3 linked regions of the Rattus norvegicus genome follow. The protein of the gene in region 2 purifies or fractionates together with the protein of the main gene of each other region. This does not show direct contact. Links are inferred from orthologs where the notes say so. Each region holds a gene or a part of one and is shown on either strand. Other genes may lie near its edges.

The links.
Region 1: the proteins of Rabggta (region 2) and Chm purify together in Homo sapiens (co-immunoprecipitation; 4 studies listed by BioGRID and IntAct, counting the BioPlex papers as one, with this or other methods). This does not show direct contact. The link is inferred for Rattus norvegicus from reciprocal best matches to the Homo sapiens genes RABGGTA and CHM.
Region 3: the proteins of Rabggta (region 2) and Chml purify together in Homo sapiens (co-immunoprecipitation; 3 studies listed by BioGRID and IntAct, counting the BioPlex papers as one, with this or other methods). This does not show direct contact. The link is inferred for Rattus norvegicus from reciprocal best matches to the Homo sapiens genes RABGGTA and CHML.

The regions. Positions count from the first base shown.
Region 1 is NC_086039.1:82,551,871-82,555,617, forward strand, and holds the start of Chm (rab proteins geranylgeranyltransferase component A 1), read right to left. Parts: upstream 2,174-3,747; 5' UTR 1,991-2,173; intron 1-1,990. UniProt on the Homo sapiens protein: Substrate-binding subunit of the Rab geranylgeranyltransferase (GGTase) complex.
Region 2 is NC_086033.1:33,176,571-33,180,317, forward strand, and holds the end of Rabggta (geranylgeranyl transferase type-2 subunit alpha), read right to left. Parts: coding exon 3,709-3,747; intron 3,618-3,708; coding exon 3,566-3,617; intron 3,436-3,565; coding exon 3,347-3,435; intron 3,231-3,346; coding exon 3,142-3,230; intron 2,874-3,141; coding exon 2,757-2,873; intron 2,121-2,756; coding exon 2,007-2,120; intron 1,758-2,006; coding exon 1,670-1,757; intron 584-1,669; coding exon 435-583; 3' UTR 357-434; downstream 1-356. UniProt on the Homo sapiens protein: Catalyzes the transfer of a geranylgeranyl moiety from geranylgeranyl diphosphate to both cysteines of Rab proteins with the C-terminal sequence -XXCC, -XCXC and -CCXX, such as RAB1A, RAB3A, RAB5A and RAB7A.
Region 3 is NC_086031.1:90,149,773-90,153,519, forward strand, and holds the start of Chml (rab proteins geranylgeranyltransferase component A 2), read right to left. Parts: upstream 2,326-3,747; 5' UTR 2,220-2,325; coding exon of another isoform or gene 1,853-2,219; intron 1-1,852. Other genes in the region: Opn3 (opsin-3), read right to left, coding at 1,853-2,219. UniProt on the Homo sapiens protein: Substrate-binding subunit (component A) of the Rab geranylgeranyltransferase (GGTase) complex. Binds unprenylated Rab proteins and presents the substrate peptide to the catalytic component B.

The DNA of each region.
Region 1 (3,747 bases), on a different chromosome or scaffold from region 2:
CATTTTCTTCCCCACCAAGATTCCAATTGGTTTTCCCTCTTTAATCTTTTTTTTAATCTTTCCCCCCACAATTCAAGTACTGTATCTTAATTCTGTTCCTTTAGGTATTCTGATATAATTTTCCCATATCTTGAAACTATGACCTTAAAGGAAACTTTAATCCATGCCATGCAAAAAGTAAAGATGCACATTATTTAAGGTTGATAAACTTTTAAAGCATTCTTAGATGATGCTACATGATGAAGCAATTGTCTTCTGATGACAGTTTAACTAAACAGTTGTTAAAAGGGAGCTACAACGCACAGCTCTTTCTTATAATGACATGCTTCATTATGCTTTTGATAACAGAACCCAAGTTATAAAACACTGCTTTACCTACAAATTTCCTAAGTGCAAATTTAATACAGTCAACACATTTAAAGTCTACCCTTAGCAATGTATTTGAGAAGGAAATCACAATGTTTCAATAACGAAGCCAATTAAAAGCAATGATTGAAATCTTAAGAATGATTTTATTTAAAAAATGACTTTCAACAAATGTTTTCACTTTTAATGTATCTAAAAGAATTAAAATAGCTAAGAAAAATAACACATCACCCAAATAAATACAGAGACTCCAAGTATAATTTAAAAAAGACTTATTCTAAAATGGATGGCGTTTTCGGTTTTAGGCAGGCACACTGGGGAAACTGAACGTTCTACTTCATCTTTCAAGCTCTCCTTTAACATCTGCTCATTCCAGGAAGCACCAGGTTAGCTGCTCAGCGGTTATCTTCAGGCTGGGAGCAAACACACCCCCACTGTTCTGAGAACAACTTACCCAGGTACATCTAGAATATGAGAATCTGTGTTCTGGATAATACCTTAAAGGCTATCTGAGTTACCTTCCTTATATTCAAAATGGTAGAAATTGAACCGCTTGAGACCCTCCCATTGCATAATCTAGAGCAGGTTTCCCTGGTATTTGTGATAACATAGTTCAAATTTGAGTCAAAAACAAAACAAAACAAAAAACAAACAAAAACCCCTGAATTCCATTTCTTGGATGGTATTAGCCACTGGACATTTACTAGCTGTGTGATTTTGGCAAGTTAGACTTCCAAGCTGCTTCTTTTCTTTTGTGTACTGAAAAGGATACCAATTTTACCAAGGTTTTTGACCGGATTATATGAAGTGCTTAAGTTCATTGATTAGGGAACGGTAAGTATTAGAAAATGGGTTGCTATCACTTTTACTCTAAACCTGAAAATATAGCTGTTCTTACTGTTTGGTAAGAAAGCAAACAGAATTCATTAACACAACAGACAAGATCCCAATGACCAAAGCTTCTATGGCCTAGCATATTCTAAGACAGTAGAATCCGCCCCCCTCCCCAAACTATCTCTTTTATCCTATGCAAACTTACAGTTAAGATAAGAATAGCTAATTGTCGCCAAGCATTATAGGATTAACTAGTCAACTAGAAGCTGAAAAGGATTTCTGGCTCCACCCAAAACATGGAGAACAAATGATGGAAGAGCTAGGGGAAGCTGAGCTCAGACACGGGTTGTGGAACACTGGAGCTTACTCTCAGCACATCTAGTTGTGGTGTGTTAATAGGTGACAGAAAACAAGATGCTTTCTGCATTATGAACTAGGATGCTTTAAACTTCGTAATGCAGGAACCTCAAGAAAAAAAAAATACTTAACTACTCAACACAACAGGGAAGAGTACTTTTTCTTTCCTTTAGTAAAAATACACACGTGTAACGACTGAGTATCATTTTTATAAAACTGCAAATTAGGCTGCATCTGAGCTGCAATGTACCCTAGCTCATGTAAGTATATGGGGGCGTGCGGGGGGAGGGGGGCGTTCTATGAAATGGCGACCTGAAACGATGGGGAATATAACCTTGAAATCAACAAGGAGGGAAGGTGGCAATTATTTGTGCCAACGGCGTCTCCATTGATCAAATCCCGATCCTCCATTGTCATGACACTGCAAACCCACCTTCCTCTAAGGAAATTAACAGGAATCACCACAGCAACCAACCTCAGCAATCGGCATCGACCAGATCGACCCCTACTCAAATGGCGCAAAACACCGCGGGTCCAAGCCCCTCCCTGGAGCTGCCAAGTCCCGCGCTGACTCCAGACTACCTCACTTCCTTTCTGTCCTCCCTCCCAGGCTCGACCCCCGCCGTTTCTTGCCAACCCTCACCACTGACAGAGAAAATAAAAAGCGAGAATTATTTTCTATATTTTGTCCAGCGAAAATCAGGGCCACACATACCCGTCCCTATTACGATCACATCAAAGTCCGAAGGGAGATTATCCGCCATCTTGACAGGAAACGTGTCATGTGACTGTAGTTTGTAGCTGTGAATTTCTAAGGCACTACCTAGGTAGAAAGCGGAAGGAAAAACAGTGCATTCTGGGTGTTGTAGTTTTAGGGTAGCGGGTGCAGGTAGGCGACAACAGAGTAGCATTAAAATGTTAATGCAAATGGTAAAAGCTAGATTTATTTCACAGACTTCAGTGATATACCTTACTTATCCTAGCAGTTTGATATGGAAATGAAACGTAATTATTCGACTCCTCAAGCAAGGATGAATGAGGAAAGTTTGTATACCCCTTTGACAATTACCAAGCAAAAATTGATCAGAGATGCTCAGGCAGTAGTGAAATTCAAAGGGGCTCACTTTGAACAAATGAATCATTCAAGCCAGGAAAACTGTTTCCCCTAGCATGTCTGTATTTGCATTTTTAGAACCTGAGGAATCTCTTTTCACTTTATACCAATACTGTCTTTTTGTCTCTGTGCCTTCCCAGAGAGAATAGAACCAAACAAAAAACTCTTTGCCTAGTTTCCACAGAATAGAATTCCTCACAGAATTTCAAATTGCCGCCTAGCAAAGTAAGTTACAACATTAACTTTGCTTTAGAGATGGCAGTGAGAGTGGGGGATGGGGGAGTGTGAAAGAGTATTAAAGAATAGTAGATGGTTTATAAATCTTTTGTTTCAGAATCTGATTTTCTGCCAAAATAAGGAGAACGCATACAAGTTTCTCCTGCAATGTTGAGGAGAAATGATTAACATTAAATAGATTTAATATGGAAGTGGGCATATTTGATAAGGGAGCTTAAGACTGTCTATGTCAAGCAGTTAATATAACTCTCATGAGTATTTTCAAGGTCTGTCAGCTCACACTCTACCTTATTTAAAACACATTTGTCTGAAAATAGTAAAGCAAAAATAGGCAATGGGGTACACTGTAGTGAGTAAAGTACTTTTTAATCCAAGGAATCATTTTTATAGCTATTTTTCGAGAGTTTCAAAATAACAATCCTTTATACTATCTACAGTCTCAGCTACTTATCATTCTCCATACATTGTTTCCTTCTTAATCTCTATGACCTCCCCACATTAGCTCTTCCTTCAACAATGAATAATCTTCTCAACCTCTAGGTAACATGCTTAATAACAAATAAGGGATACACTTAATATTATTAAAGCATTAAGTGATGTATGTGTTTCTAAAGAACACATGATTCCATGTAATTATGCACAACTTTACGTATCAGTTAAAAATAATAAAATAAAGGGGAAGCTACAAATGTACTTCAATGTTTAAGATCACAGACTGCTCTACTACAGGACCAGATTCTATTCCTATGCTCCCTATGCTTGTATGGTAGCTCACAACCTTGTATAACTCTAATTCCAAGGGAATTCTTTTCTGGCCTCCTGAGGCACCATATGCACAT
Region 2 (3,747 bases):
TCTCAAACACTGAGGTCCTGAGCCTATTCCGTTGTGAATGAAGCAGGGGTCAGGACACAAAGTCTGAAGTTGGCAGACTCACGAGAGAAAGGTTCACAGTCTCTTCCAGCTAGAGACAGCTGTTCTGAGGCTCAGCCCAAATCATAACCCGAGCCCGATTTCTATCCCAGTCTCAAGCTAGGCTCCCATGACAGCCCCAAAACTGATGATGAACTCAAATCCAGCTGTGGTCCTGACCAGACATGAACACAGAGGCTCTGGGTAGAGAGTATCACAGGGCAGTAGACCCTCACCACAGAGCCCCTCCCTTCCTTTCTTCAAAACAGTGGTGGTAATGGAGGTAGTGTTGTCATGGCAGCGGTCAAGTGGTAGAGGGGCCTCTCCACACTTTATTCAGTCCCAGTAAGTTAAAGGTGAGGATGAGGCAGGGCCTCCTAGGTGAGGATGCTGCTGACAGACGGTAGCATCTCAGCCAAACGCTCCTGGATGCCCTCTTCTTGGCACAGCGAGTTGCCCTGCAGGTTGAGGAGGACTAGCCTGGGGCAGGAGACAAGAGGCTGGATTGCTGCAGACTGTTGGAGGCCTTGGGCAGTAGAGTCAAGGAAGGCTCAGTAGCTCTACCCCACCCATTCTCTGCCACTGGACACCCCAAAGCTAGAAGCTGCTGCTTGGAAGCAAGTCTGATGGTGTCTTACAGGCTTCCCGGGGAGGATAAATCCCTCAGCAGACATTAGGAAGCAAGTCTGATGGTGTCTTACGGGCTTCCCTGGGAGGATAAATCCCTCAGCAGACACTAGGAAGCAAGTCTGATGGTGTCTGACAGGCTTCCTGGGGAGGATAAAGCCTCAGCAGGCACTGTAGAACATCTGGCTGAAGAGGGGGCTGTGGGAAGCAAGTCCTTGTGTGATCATAAAGCGAGGCGGAGGGCTGGAGAGATGGCTCAGGGGTTAAGAGCACTGACTGCTCTTCCAGAGGTCCTGAGTTCAAATCCCAGCAACCACATGGTGGCTCACAACCATCTAATGGGATCTGATGGCCTCTTTTGGTGTTGTCTGAAGAGAGTGACAGTGTACTCATATATAATAAATAAAATCTTTAAAAAAAAAAGAGGTGGAGAGGGCTGTTAAGTGGCTACATGTAAATGAGGGTCAAAGATGCTCTAACCCTCCATTTTCTTTTTTCTTTTCTTTTTTTTTTTTTCTTTTTTTTCGGAGCTGGGGACCGAACCCAGGGCCTTGCGCTTCCTAGGCAAGCGCTCTACCACTGAGCTAAATCCCCAACCCCCTAACCCTCCATTTTCAAGAGAGATCAAAGAATTTTAAAAAATATGGAACTTCCCGATTTCTAGACTACTGTGTGGTTCCTAAGAATCTCTACAGCTGCCTGCCTGTGAACTCTGGCTTGTGGAAGCCACACTCCACAGAACTCCAGAGTAAAAGTTAATAATAGTCACAGACAGCCCCAGGCTATCATCTCCCCTTTCAGCTCACCCTGCCCAAGCCCTGCTTCCTGTCCTGCCTGGAGATGATTCTGCCTGTGTGTGTGGTTTATCCCCCTGCAGCCTGCTCCTTGCCCTGTGAGCTGTCTGCTGTCTGTGTCTGCGGTTTGTCCCCCTACAGCCTGCTCTCTGCCCTAGTAGCTGTCTGCAAAGGAGACTGAGGGAGGATACGGTTATTACATAGTAACAGCTCTTGTAGCCGGGGAAGGTTAGCCACACCATCCACGTTCTCCAGGGCATTGTCACTGGCCTGCAGCACCTGAGGAGCAGGGAGATGGGGAAACACAAGGTCAATCAGGCAGCCTGGGACCAGTATAAGCCATGGAGGAGCCCAGAGTGACCAGCTTAGGTGTGCGAAAAAGCTCACAGGGCCAGGCTATATAGTCAAGGGGGCTGGCGAAGTGGTTACCTGCAGGGGTCAGAGGTCAGGAGGTCCTGCTGTAACATAGGCAAACTTCTGAGTGGAAAAGGGGTACCCCAGACAGAATGGAAGGGATGCATACTTTACCTCAAGACAGCGCAGAGCAGCCAGGGCTGGGGGTAAGGCTCGGAGTCGATTATGGGACAGGTCAAGATGAGTGACCAAGAGCAGTTGTTCCAGGTGGCAGAGCACTGTGAGATCCTAGGAGTTGGGGGGAGGGGGAAAAACTCGGCAAGAGCTAGGACATCTTTAGCCACCTGCTCTGCGTTCCATACGGACCTTACAAGACCCTTGTCAGAGGCTGGCCGCGTGTAAGAAACAAATAGCCAGATCCACATGCTATGTCAGGGACGGGGACAGACAGACAGGGTTACGGAGGGGTGGCTAGTGAGAGGAGACAGGGAGAGGAAACCTCAAGTGTGGGGCAGAGGATAGCGGCATGTCCTAGAGCAAACAGAAAGGTAGGAGTGGGCTTGTGCTGGGCCGCAGTGACGAGGCAAAACGGATCTGTTAAGATGACTAGAGACACGAAAAGCGCTGCCTGGGCAGCTTTCAAAAATCTCTAGAAACAATGTAGAAGCACAGGAATGCACGGATGGGTGGTAAAAGGCCTTTAAAAGAAATTTGCTTTCAGCCCTGGGAATTGAACCCAGGGCCTTACCAATGAGCTTTGATGGTTCAGGATTTAAAACAAGGGAACAAGCAGGATGAAGAACTGACTGACAGGAAGCAAGGCCTAATGAAGGAGCAGGCTAAAAGAAAGATGGTGGAGTCACCCTGGTGGGGAGACAGCAGCGAGGAAGGGGCCAGGGGAAGCAGCCCACGCTGAGTCCGTACCTTGTGAGCCAGGTGCAGCACGCGTACATCAGCGTACTCCATCTTGAGAACACTGTTCTCCAGCAAGAACTTGCTGCGCAGGTCATCCAAGTAAGCTGCTCTCATTGGGTCCACAGCCTGGTGGGGAAGAAGCAGGCAGTTACGCCTTCTAAAGATTTATTTATTTATATGTAAGTACACTGTAGCTGTCTTCAGACACACCAGAGTGGGCATCAGATCTCATTACAGATGGTTGCGAGCCACCATGTGGTTGCTGGGAATTGAACTCAGGACCTCTGGAAGAGCAGTCAGTGCTCTTAACCACTGAGCCACCTCTCCAGTCCAACCTGCCTTCTAATGGCCCACTGGGCCTCCCCTGGCCTGTCCTCCCCCAGGTCCAACTTGCTTTGAGGGTACTGAAGTACTGCAGTGTTTCCTTCTCATAGAGGAGGGGGTCCAGTGCTCGCATCAGCAGGATGATGGTCAGCAGGCACCCTAGGGAGAGGACGGAGAGAGGTTTACAGTCTCTTGAAGACTCTCTGCTCAAGGAGGTTCCCGGGACGGGCTTTCTCCACGTAGTTCTCAGGAGCTGGCTCACGGGAGGATCTTACATTTATTCTCAGGCTCTAGTTCCTGCAGCTCCTTACAGGATTCAAGCTCAGACTGCAGCACTGTGGACTTTTCCACTGACAGCTCACACCTGACAGAGAAGGTATGTTGCCCACAGTCCGGAGTTCTACACCACCCTCCTTCCCCCAGGCCCATGCCTCCTGCCCCAACTGCCTGGTGTCTAGAATCCCTCTCTTTGTCCGTGGGTTCCTTGTCATCACCTGAATAGCTGTTCATCAGTGGCTGAGTCTCGGCACCAGCATTCTGGGCGGTCTAGGGGAAAGGTTAAAGAGTAGGATGAGACACTGTGAGGAGAGAGAAGGCTGAGGAACTGGCACAGTGAAGAAGCTTTAGACAGCATCACCTTTTAAAAGCACACACTCCTTCTGGCTATCACTTCCTG
Region 3 (3,747 bases), on a different chromosome or scaffold from region 2:
AAAGAAATCATTTGCTAATTATGCTGTTAAGATCTGCAGCAATCTCACTCTAGACTTGTCTCCAAGAAGTAACTTATTTCCAATCCTCTAATCCCACAAGACCTACATCGGGTTTTAGGATGGGAATAAAGGCCATGATTCAAAGTCCTAATAGATGCCCTGAATAAAGGAACTGTCCAGTAAAACACCCGGGGTGGATGTTTCTTGTAGTCTTTAAAGAAATCTCTTCTGATGCTGACAGACCCCAGCAGGAATTCAGAAGGGGAAGAAAGGACAGAGAGGATTCTGGAAGATAAGCTTGGCAGAGCAAGCCAGAGAGAGACAGGGTGCTGCAGACATAAGAAAAACTCAACCCAGTCTTGTTTTCTCAGCCCCAGATGGAGACACTGAACACCACAGCACAGAAAAGTACTTCACAGAAAAAAAGGACTTTAATGTCTTCAAACACCTGTCGCCCGCCCAAGGGGTTCTGCAAGCTAGGCTCCTGACACATCACCTTGTTTAAAGATTAATCTGCCTAAAAAACCCTCCCAACGAACATTTTTAGGTAACAGAATAATCACATAGACAACCTATGTACCACTCATATCCTCTTACGGACCTTTCTCAGGGTTCAATACTGTTATATAAAGGAAGTCCTTAGATGAATGTTTATTAGGGGGGAGAGAATAAGAAAGTATCAGAATTGTCAAGTAGTGGGGGAAAAAAAAAACCACCGTAACTCCTAAATTTTATTTTAAAACTTTAAAAAGGGAATCATGACAAATACTCTGAGATTTGGGTTTGTCATACATCTCCGGGATATGACATAGATGATTTTCTCTAAGACCTGCCAAGATCAAGGTAATAGTAAATTATCAATGTGTTTTAAGGTTTGTAAAAAGGGACTTTAAGCCTTAAGTAATATCCATTTCTATTGTAAGTCGTTGTACAAACAAAATCCTTAGGACAGATACACACAGACTCTCTCTCTTCTCTCTCCTCTCTCTCTCTCTCTCTCTCTCTCTCTCTCTCTCTCTCTCTCTCACACACACACACACACGTTTTTCTCAGGTTTAGAATCCTGGGTTAGTCAACCTTCAACCTGTCAATTCTCAATATAAATCTTCAAGAAATCAACAAGTTCTACTTTAATTAAACGTACTGGCTGCCCTGCTAATTATTTATTCGCAAGAGTGAGTTGGAATTCTTTGAGCCCTTTGTAACCTCTGGTGTGACAGAACCTATGTGGAGGGAATACAATTAAAAAAAAGTATAATACAGTCTCACTCCCTAGGAAGCATTCAACCGTTTAGAATTGCTAACGAGTGAAAGGGGGTAAAAATGCTGCGTTATTTAGGATTCTACGTGTCACTTTAAGAAACAAATACTTCATTTATTAATTAAATCTTTCCTTGTCCCCGCCTCCACTCTTCAAGAGTTGACTTTTTTCTTGCATCTCTGGACTCTACAGGCCCTGGTTTCTTTCCCCCACTGTGAGATGCCCTGTTGAGCTACAGTAGGAAGTAAAAACAGATGAGAGGACATAAGGTGATCGGCAGCAGGGAGACTTTGTTAAGTGCTGCAGAGGGATGGGGAGCCGAGGTTGATGACTGGCTGGGAGGAAGGCTGTGTAGACCCGAGGGAGGGGGCGGAAGAGAAAGAGAGTTGGGGAGGAAGACCTGGTGGAAGGGAGAATTCCTGGGAGAAGAGAGAAGAGGGTTACGGATGAAGGGAGGTTCTCGAGGAGGAGAGACAGGGAGTTGTGGGTGATGACTGGCTATCAGGGACGATCCCGGGAAGGACGGAAGCCCAGAGCTGAGGTACCCAGGGAAAGTTGAGAGGCGAGGAGAACCCGTCCCGGGCGACTCACCAAAGAGGCTGCCGCTAAACCCGTCCCACGCGCAGCCCACGGCGTCCCACACCCAGCCGTTCCGCAGGCACGACGCGAAGGTGAAGGTGACTCCGAACAGGGATACCAGCAGATCGCCCAGACTGAGGTTGACCAGGAAGAGGTGGGTGGGCGTGCGCAGTCGCGGGAACTTGGAGTAGAGAAGCAGCACCAGCAGGTTGCCGCCGACGCCCAGCAGCGCGAGGCAACCGAGCAGCAGCGCCAGGCGCTCGTACGCGGTGGGGCTGAAGAGAGGCGCGGGGCTCCGCGTGCCGGCCGGTGCTGCGCCCTCGGCGCCCGCCCCGTCCTCCCAGTAGCCCTGGCCGCCGCTACGGTTCCCCGAGTACATGGCCCGACGCCGACGCGCCGTGAGGGAGAGGGCTCCGTGCGCCCGGCTGCCCGCCACGCAGCGAACCGGGTGGAGCTCACGCTCAGGCTGCAGCTCAGGCCATTGTGCCTCGGAGCAGCGCCAGGCCCGCCCAGCCCGCGCGCACCCGAGACCCCGCCCTTCAGTGCTAGGACCCCGCCCACCGCACGAAGCTCCGCCCCCTAGCGTTCTTGAGATCCCGCCCTCCCGCGTGAGTCCCGCGCCCCACTAGCAAGCACTACACTGGACCTCCATCGACGCCACGCCCTTCAATCTTGCGGCCCCACCCAACAACAGCCGTTTGGCCCCGCCCCCTTAAGGCTCTTCCGCAGTCTCGCCTGCGGCTCCTCCCTCCCGGAATCTCCCGTTACTCCGCCCCCCGACTCACACTCTTGGCCCCGCCCTCGAGGGTACGGCCCCGCCCTCTGAGAACCTCTGACTCCGCCTCCTAGTTGGGGCCCGCCTCTTCCACCCCTTCCCACCTCCCAGGCGCATTCTGTAACCTGCAGAGGCAAGTTTTGGAGTCTAGTCAGCTCTTGTTCCTCTTCCTTAACCCTTAAGCCATAGTGGAAGCGGGAAGAGACCGTACAGGGGAAAAAAAAGAAAGTAAACTCCTTTACCGAGCTAAATAAGCCACAGCGGGTCCTCACTGCTCATTTCCCCTCAACCAGCTTGAAAGCATCTCATCCATTCACCTGTTAAGTCAATCATCCTAGCATACATTCATTCATAAATATTTATAAACGCCTGCGCTTAATTCAGTTGAGCATGCTGAATGAAATACTTTTTCCTGTGAAGCTATAACAACACCCACCCCCACCTCATACACCCAACAGAAAGAAAACAAAACAATGAAATGCCCGAGGCAGCGAAACGATCTTACAAACAGGGAAACTGAGGTCAAAACAAACAAACAAACAAAAGCAGCAGGCTGAGACTCAACTACTCTAGAGCTGGAAGATGATATGTCCCAGAGTTTGTGACAGTATGCTGAGGTGCCCCTCTCAGAGCCCCAGAAAAAGGAAGAAAATAGCATCAGAGTGACACCCAAGTCACCCTCCCATTGGATCCCAAGCCTTCTCAGTCTGCAGTAGGAGTATCCTGATACACAATCCTGTCCAAGAGCTTCCTTGGAGGTGATCTCTTGAGCAGTGCCCCCAAGGCTTCAGTCCAAATCTAGCCGGTATAGAGAGGATATATTTAGAACAGCACACATTTTCCACTGGACCTTTCCCCAGCAGCAATGCAAATATAGTACAAGTCAAATATAGATTGTGAGCACCACTTCTTTAGGCCTGCTTTCCCTGTCTCCACTGCAGTCCCCAACGACTACCCACAAGAGAAAAATGTCCCGAGCTCCACGCACCTGAAGCTGTCATAGGCGCTAATGACTGATTTGTGGAAACTGAATTGAGTGTTCGCCCCTCCCACTGTGTTAGATTCAGCGCATCTCCAAGTTCTTCAATAATCAGCTGAGATAGTTTGATACCCTGCTGCACTGAACATTCAA